2 linked regions of the Oryzias latipes genome follow. The protein of the gene in region 1 purifies or fractionates together with the protein of each later gene. This does not show direct contact. Links are inferred from orthologs where the notes say so. Each region holds a gene or a part of one and is shown on either strand. Other genes may lie near its edges.

What was found.
Region 2: the proteins of tyrosine-protein phosphatase non-receptor type 12 (region 1) and pstpip2 purify together in Homo sapiens (affinity purification with mass spectrometry; 4 studies listed by BioGRID and IntAct, counting the BioPlex papers as one, with this or other methods). This does not show direct contact. The link is inferred for Oryzias latipes from reciprocal best matches to the Homo sapiens genes PTPN12 and PSTPIP2.

What each region holds. Positions count from the first base shown.
Region 1 is NC_019881.2:13,835,354-13,839,915, reverse strand, and holds the start of tyrosine-protein phosphatase non-receptor type 12, read right to left. Parts: upstream 3,041-4,562; 5' UTR 2,570-3,040; coding exon 2,468-2,569; intron 1,715-2,467; exon of another isoform or gene 1,646-1,714; intron 1-1,645. UniProt on the Homo sapiens protein: Dephosphorylates a range of proteins, and thereby regulates cellular signaling cascades. Dephosphorylates cellular tyrosine kinases, such as ERBB2 and PTK2B/PYK2, and thereby regulates signaling via ERBB2 and PTK2B/PYK2.
Region 2 is NC_019870.2:8,939,330-8,943,708, forward strand, and holds the start of pstpip2 (proline-serine-threonine phosphatase-interacting protein 2), read left to right. Parts: upstream 1-1,519; 5' UTR 1,520-1,624; coding exon 1,625-1,657; intron 1,658-2,188; coding exon 2,189-2,289; intron 2,290-3,801; coding exon 3,802-3,876; intron 3,877-4,379. Other genes in the region: putative UDP-GlcNAc:betaGal beta-1,3-N-acetylglucosaminyltransferase LOC100288842, read left to right, coding at 1-278. UniProt on the Homo sapiens protein: Binds to F-actin. May be involved in regulation of the actin cytoskeleton.

The sequences.
Region 1 (4,562 bases):
TTTGCAGAAGCAGCATCCATCCAGATGTAGCAATTTTGCGGGAGCTGTGTCATGGGAGAGACTTACCGATACACAAACTGCTTTTTACACAATTAAAAGTTTCTGAAATAAACCACAACATTTTAAAGTTGGTTTAAAAATGTTTCCATGGAATTAAAACTTGAATTATGTTAACTTCAACCTTAATTTTGTGGGTGAATTCACAGACTAAATTTGTTTTTTGGAGTTTTCTTCTTATCTCTAATACAAAATAGAAGAAATTCACTAAAAGTATAACAATGATCTAAAATTTAACAATTAAAAAAAAAAAAAATCCTGTTTCCTCTGTCCTCACCCTTAGGTATTTTCTATGTAATTTATTTCTTTCCGAACACCACAGAAATAGAAACCTCCCTGCAAAAAGACAACTCCAGCAATTAAATGGGTTATACGGTCGCATATAGGAACAGACTTGACAAGACAATAACTTAACTCCACAGGACACTTCTTAGATTTCAACACTGGATTATAAAAAAACATCTAAAGCAATTCTGCTCCATCAAATTGCTTAAAACGGCTGCTGAACAAAGTGTATAATCTTGACTCTTTGCCCTAACGCAACCTGCAATTATGTCTATATAACACGTTCTATATATAAACAACAATAGGCGGTTAGAGTACAGTTATGTCAGGGCGCTCTGGTGAGGCACTGTTCAGAAAAGCCCACCCTATATACATGAAAACGTTTAGGCTTCACCAATTGGTAAAGAATGGATCCTCACATGCTTCATGTGTTAGCTTCCAAAGCAGTGAAACAGGCAGTAACAATATGGAAGTTGTGAGGCAGCATGAGGATAAGCATGAAATGTGTGTCACAGTAGAAGTTTATTACTGTACATATTTTACAACCAAAATACACTAAAAGTCTCTGCAAGGTGGAAGAACAAAATTAAAAACATAATCAAATTATAGCTCTTTTTTTTTAAAACACTTTCTTCCATAACTTCCTGAATGTCTTGCACAGACAGTTCAGTCTGCTTTGCGCAACACCTATCAGCCCCTTGTTTACAGAATCCTCAAAGCACAGACCAACTAATGAACGCAACAGCAACAAAACAAGACTAAGATAGCATTTTTATATTTTTTAATTTTTTATTTATTTAATTATGGTTCTGTCTTCCTTAAAGCAGTGATTCAAAGTGTGAGATTTGTTGACAAAGCTCCACTTTTAAAGCCAGGACAAAATGTTTTGTAATAGGCCAAGAAAGAATGTTGCAAGCTACAGCAAGCTGCTTGCATGAAGCATGGAAGTAAGGTGTGTGCGTGTGTGTGTGCGTTTCTGCAAGTGTAGACAGAGGGGGCAAAAGTTAGCTGATGCTGATTAACCTCTTTCTTGGAGACAACAAACTCAATATTTAAACAAAACGTAAAAGAGTAACAGCATCTTCTATCTATAGTTGGAACAATGCAATGACGGATATATTGAAATAATTGGTCATAGAAGAGTTTCTCGACTTATTTTAGCCTAAACTTTGCCCTAAAAGGTCCACCTCATGCTAAATGTTATTACAGAAAGTCATTTCACAAGTCAGGGAGTGGAAGAAGCTTCATTTAGATTCCAAAATTTCGACATCCCTCTTTTTTTTCTTTTTTTTCTTTTATATACCAAGAACATTCTTTGAACTACCGATTTGCAGCCATCAAAAAGCTAAACTCCAACCAGCTTTCTAATTTGGTAAACAAACCTTCATTTATAATATTTTCAAGTATGTTAAATAGATATAAGCAAAAAACCAAGCAGGTCAATACATTTTGTAAGTTTACAGAGTCATTTTGTTTTATAATGATCTTTAATGCTGCTTTAAGTATTTCTGATGACATTTTTAAGTTGTAATATTTAGACTTTTCTATTTTTTATAGCAAACTGTGACCCTAAAAAATGCATAGCTGATATGCTAGTAGCAATTTCTTGTCACTGCATTCAATGGTTATAGTTGTGGACCACATCTATAACGTACAAGAGAGGACAATGAAGCACTAGTGCACTGTCTGCCAACAATCAGGCATGATTAACAGCGGAGGAAGCGACTATCTGCTCCAGCCCACAATAAGCCGCCTTAGCGCCACCAAAACACAAGCAAGGGGGCTTTGAACCGACGCGTTGAGCTAATTCCCCCTATTCCAATTCTTAAAGAACAGAAGTCGGCGGTGTGTCTGTGCGTCGGGACACAATGCTAGGCCGCCATATAAAGCCTGGAAATGAGAGGAAAAGGAAGAGGGCAGGCAGTGTGGCCGCCCCTACCTCACCTCCTCCTGGGGGGATGCAGGAACCAAGAAACGGGAAGGGTGATGGTATGGAGGGAGAGTCGGCGAAAAGGGGGAAAAGGTGGAGACTAAGTATAAACATGGGGACGACTTCCAATTAGATTAAAAAAAAACAAAGAGAGGGAGAGAGAAGGATAGGTTAGAGTCCAGCAGATTTACTCACCATAAAGTCACTACCAAAGTTGTCCTCTCCCCTCTCCTTGTCCCCTTCACTCATGGCCTTCACCCCTTGGATAAACTTTCTCAGGATGCCGGCTTGCTCCATCCTTCAATCCTCTTGTAGCGTTTTCAAAAATCCCCAAACTAGCAAGGGGGGTAGATATGTTTTTTTTGTATGTAAAGAGAACAAATGAGGGGGGAAAGGGGGAATAAATAAAAATAAATAAGCTTCACGGGTCTTCCCACGGAGTCATCGTCGGTCAACACATTTTCGTATTATCGCCCCATGTTGTTTCCTCCTTTCCTTCTTTCTTCTTGACTGTTTTTACGACAGCCGTTAGTCCCAAAAATAAAGCCGTCGCCGGCTTTCCTGCTGTCCAAACACCGCCGTGGCGTGATTTAAAAAAGAAAACACTATGTTAAGACATGAAAAAAATATGTATATATATATTGGAGAGAGGGCAAGGGGGGGCAATTGACCGGTGTGGTCATAAAATCTACCCCTCCCTGCCTACCTCGATTGCCACATTCACACAGTGCTGCTCGTTAGTCCGCTACTGGGGAACATCCGGACTGGGCAAAGCCAACAAGATGTAGACCCTCCCCTTTCACGAAAAAGGAGGGATCCGATTGGTCACAAGGTAATTTAGAACTGGAATGTCATTGGTTAAACTGGGTGTAGTCACACCAAATACCCAGCTGTGATTGGACATCCCATGTGTCGGTCATTTTAATTCCCATAGCAGAGTCATCGTGAGAATATCATGGATCAGATGTTCAAACGAAATGGATAGAAAAATAAAAAAACACACAATTTATAGCGATGATCAGTTTTTCAAGAAGTAATAAGTGATGAGGATAATATTGAGGACCAGAGTAAAGAAGAAAAACAGTCAGAATGACGGATCCAAACAATAATCTGGATTAGAGGCTGCCGAAAATGGAAACAGACGATGTTTCACATCAACAAGATCCCTCTCTGATTTAAAAGAAAATACAACAAAAAAACGTTAAAAAAAAAACATTGTTCTAACTTTACTTGAAAAAAACAGCAGGATAATAATAATAATATAATATACTATCAAAGCATTCTGTATTTAAGCACATATTTTCTTTTTACCATTGGGACACTCAAATTTTGATTTAGTCTGTGATAGCCTATGCCTAAAAAAAAGAACTGATCACTTTATGGAAAGAGTCAGAGGACAGGATATGAAAAGATACTCACTCCTGATGAATTCTCCTTTGCCAGTCACACAAATGAAGAAGGAGAATTGACTTGCTTTGTTTCCTCTAGTTCTACCAAAAAGACGAGGGTTGAGTAAAAGAGAAGGACATTGTCCCAGAGCCACGAGCATTTTAAATTACAAAAGCTGCTTGTTTTTGCTCTTGCCTTTAAACCATATTATTTTTTTCCATCTCTAGTCTTTTTCCATGCTTCTTTTTATTTTGCTCTATTCTTATCATGTGTGTAAACTGTCAAAAGTCAATCTATTCAACTGTTTTTGAATGGGTTTGATTTCATTTTTTGTACAAATTAAATCCAAGACAAAAATATATTAGATATGTTAATTTGTATACTGTTAGTATGAAAGCAAACTGATTCACTACAAAAAACTGTTCCCTTTTGAAAGAAAAACACAGTAAATTTGAATTTCAGTTGAAAATCTACCCTTTACTTTTTAGGGGGAAAACGTTGGATCATATTAAAATGATCTCCCATGCGAAACACATGACTTTATCATTTTATGAACTGAGAACCTATTCTGTAAAAGTTGAATCCCCCATTCATCTAACAAAGAACATACTTTGCTTCAGGGTAGAATGGCCCATTAAGTTGTGGCAAATGAGTGTATAAGGCAGACAAAGAAATATGCATACTTTTCCAGAAACGCTTACAATAAGTGTTATTCTATAATTCTAGTAAAATAAAAATATAACATATGTTTTGCACATTTGAATGCATATCATTGAAAGGAGTTGTGGCATGAAACATGTTATTCTTTTTTTTTACAAATCTTTATTTTCTCTTTAAGCTGAGTACTATTCAAGTTATTCATTATTACATATGAAAACAAACAGTTTGCCAAACAGAAACT
Region 2 (4,379 bases), on another chromosome or scaffold:
CGCCCGTGTCCGCTGATGTTTTTGTGGGTCTCTGTGCTCGGAAGGCTGGTGTCTCCCCAACCCACAGTGCTAGGTTCCCTGGAGATAAACACATTCATTACAACGCATGCTGCTACCTTTACCTGTTCTGCTCTGCAGGCATGAGGAGCCACGAGTTGGAAAGAATCTGGATGGATCTTGAGCAGAAAGGTGGAAGATGCTCACTTTTAAAGACATATTATGGACTGGTGTACTGTAAAGCTCACACGTACATAGATAAACTCCTTAATCCTCATTGAAAAGAGAAATGGAATCAAGGTGAAAAGGGTCAAAGTTGACTTTAATTTGATGGAACTGTATAATTTGATGGAAGTGTATATCGGTAATTATATTTTTTGTTGTTCTCCTGTGTGTAAAGTTATGTTGTGTAAAAAATTATTCCAATAAGATAGTGTAAATATAAAGTCTTTCTGAAGACATCATTAAAATCAGGATTTCTGATCATATCCATTCATGCCTTGATGGAAACTTACCTGTAATTTGTTTTTAGACAAAATAAACTTTAGGTTTCAGAGAAATCATATTTTTTTTGTCTACAAAGTTTAAATTTGTTCCCTGTTAAAGATTCTGGAACAAATTCATTATTTACAAAAGTTTGAGATCGATAGATCGATAGATCTCAAACTAATGCACTATTGAATAATCTTGGGTCAAAACAGTGTAAACATTGAAGATTTGAACTGAAGATCATTACAGGTGTTTTTTTATCATTTCATCACAAAATCCCTTTTTTTCTATGTTGATTAACAAGGTAGAGGTTAGCTATAAACAATTATTTCAATAAAAGTTCAATATGCAGACATTATCAAGTTTTCTAAAGACTAGACTTTTTTAACCTTTATGTATTTTTGTATTAAGCCTTAAATGAACTCACTTCAAGCCTTGAAGGTTCTTAATTTTGGATTGATTAAAAAAAGGTCTCCTCCTGAAACTTTTATTTTTAATTTTGGTCCCATTTATGATTTTAGAAACTTTATGTGGTTTATTACCATTGAAAATACAAAGCTTTATATGTTCTTAAAAAAAGGCATTCAAATGACGAAGTTGTGATTATAGGTATTATGTACAACTGCTAGTTTTGGAGGCTTTATTTTGTCCTGTTTTAGATGATTCAAGATTTTTAAAACTGCAAATGAATGCTGTTTCAGCATTTGGTACTTTCCCCTTATCCTTAGTTATTGCTGAATTTTCTGCCAGTATCAGTGTTAATAAAACTTTTATTTTATTTCTTTTTTATTAGTTAGTTTTTATGACTGTGTTAAGTTTAACACATTTGCTTTACTTTACATCTCACTCTTTATATTTACCATTTATTTTATTCTACACTGACTTTTATCTAATACATTACACTCTCTTCTACCGGTCCAGTAAATATCTCAGTCAGCCACTAGATGGCAGCTCTGCCAGCAATGAAGAGCTGTCAGGAGGAGTTCCAGTCAGCCCTGTCAAAGTTACTGCGCATGCGCCAGTTAATAGACTGTACAGTTCAGACTTCATGGTTCGTTCACGGCACTAACTAGGAAGGAAATCGCACTCAAAGAGCTTCACGGAGCCTGCGGCGTTGCTCCTCTTGTACATTTCAGTCATGAAGAATCTTCATTTCAAAGATTTCTTCTGGGTGAGTAGTTTGTGTAGCTTTCTAGATAAATTTGGCTAATTTTTTTTTTTTTTTACAATTACAGGGTAATTAAATGCACTTCAGAAGGCTGAAATTCAATTAAGCAGTAATGATCATGTATTTCCTTATCAAGAAATTCTTTATATTTTAAAATTTTGTTTTGAAACGGACATGCTTTAAATTTCTGATGATCAGTTTCAAAGCATCTAATTTATTTAAATACACAGCTGAGACATATACGAAAGACTCAAACTCCAAACCCACTATGGTAAAAAACTGAATAGGCAGCAAAGCATAAAAACTTCATGAGGGAAGTCTTTATGGTTGAGGATGATTACAGGCTGTTAGCCTCAGATGACCCAAATTATAGAGATTAACGGTTCAAAAACACCAATTTTCACCTGGGTCAAATAATCTCATGTGCTTTCCAAACGGGTTTAACCAGTTTAAAAGAGAAGAGGCATCCCTGTAGTGTCTTACTGATAAATATTGATGGAAATAATATTGACATATTTGTTTTGATGCTGACAGAACTTAGATCTGACCTGCACCAACGGCTATGATGCCATAATTCAGTATCTAAACGAAGGCAAAAGGACATGCAAGGAGGTCGAGGACTTCATGAAAGCAAGGTAATGAATACATTAAAATACTTGCATGAAATTGTTATAAATGGTAAATGGCGTAAACTTATATTGTGCTTTTTTTTTACCTTCTTAGAAGGCCTTTAGCATTTTATATTCATAGTCCCATTCACCCATGCACATTCACACACTGGTGGTGGCTCTGCTGCATAAGAACCACCAGGAGCAATGTGGGGTTCAGTGTCTTGGGCAGGTAATGTGGTAACCGAACCTGCAATGTTACAATGAGAGGTTGACCACCCCACCTCTGCACCACAGCCACCCCTGCTAGACTCTCTAGGCTCTGTGTAAAATGAAACTAAACTTAATGTGAGACTAACACAGGAAAAGTGGGGTTTAAGTGATGATAAAAGGAAGAAGAGATGTGAAGTTGTTGTTTGAGAAGTAAATAATCAAGTTTTTAATCTCACAGCAGGGAATTGCTTTTTAACGTGAATAAAATGCATAACTAAAATATATTTAAAATTTTAAGTCACATATTAAAAATGTTTTTTGAAAAAAGGTTATGTAATATAAAAATGTATATCAGTAAAAAGAAATTTCTTCCCTAAATTTAAGCCAACAGCTTTGCAACTAATCAAACTATTAAAGATGATGCTATATTTCAATTCTTTGAGCCTTTTTCTTTTGTTTTTTTACAAAGTATGGACTGTAAAACCTTAGTTTGTCACGTTTTGAGTTTTGCATTTCTTCTTCCTCTTGTAATAATTAACTTTTCACACAAAGACCTGAGTGCATGTCGGCTTATTGTTTATGAATTGGTAGCAACATGTAAATCTGGCAATTGTGTCAGTATATAACTGTGTCATAAACTCTGAAATAAAAAGGAGGATATTATATATCACAACAAAAGTGAAACTTGGTGTTTTGCGACATGGGAGGACATTTTTGCAAACCATCGTGGTGTGCCAAACCGAAAGAAGTGAGAATTACAAAGCACGCTTGAAGTAAAGACATTAATAAAAAGAAAGTTTAAAAAATTAGAAAATTGATTAAAGTTTTGTTGGTGATCATATATGTATAAATATCATTAAAGCAACTATTTACACTGAGTAACTATTTCCTGGTTAAGTGATCTGTTTGTTACTGATGAGCTTTTTTTTTTGTATGAACTTTGTGTATACTAAATCTGAACAAGTACAAATTCAGCTTAAGTCAATATTTTTAGTAGCTCCCAAGCTTAACTCTAGATATTACAGAAAATTAGGCAAAAGCGTTTATAATTTATCATATGTAGCTGCATTTACATACGTTTTATTGTTATTTGCTGCTAGTAGTTTTTTTCCACAGGTTTATTTCTCTCACTAAAAGTACTTTTCTAAAAATAAAAGCACTTTTTTGTTAACCGTTTCCCTCTAAAATGTACCTTCTCTGCACTAAACATTATGTGGAAAAACAAATGCTGATAAAGTGCTGCTTGTCTTCAAGACGTGCATGGAAATCAACGTCCCGGTATCTTCTTTGGGTATAGCCTTTCTTAAGCGCTGCTTTTTCTTTCAGGGCTTCTATTGAAGAGAAGTATGCCAAAGACCTGCTGGGTTTGTCCAAGAAGGTGTGTGGACACAACGAGATGAAGTAAGCGACCCATGTGCAACTGTGTCATTTTTGATCTGCTCTGTTCTCTCGTGTAATGTAGAACACCAAATGTTGGATTGCTTCATCCGTAAGTAGAGTGTCTTGTTCACTCTGTGGTCACGTGACCGGTGTAGTTTTATTTCTCTTGATGGTTTTTAACTTCTTAGAGGAAGGAAGAGTAATTGAGGAAGAAGAGACACTCATTGGTATTAACTTTCTGGGTGGCTTTTCTTGTCGACACTCATACTTGATGCATACTGCAGATGTTGATCAATAAATAGAAGTTACGAGTAAATATTAAAAGAGGCATTATTTCTAGTCGGAAAATTGAAAACAAGTGCAAAAGACACAGTATAAACTCTAGTATACAGTAAGCTATTCTTATTCATTGTTTTTTAACCCTGTAACCATTCGTATCATATTTGATACATTTCTGAGACTATCTCATTAGCAAGATTCAAGCTGTCCTTATGAACTCACTGTATATAACTTATAGAAGGGCT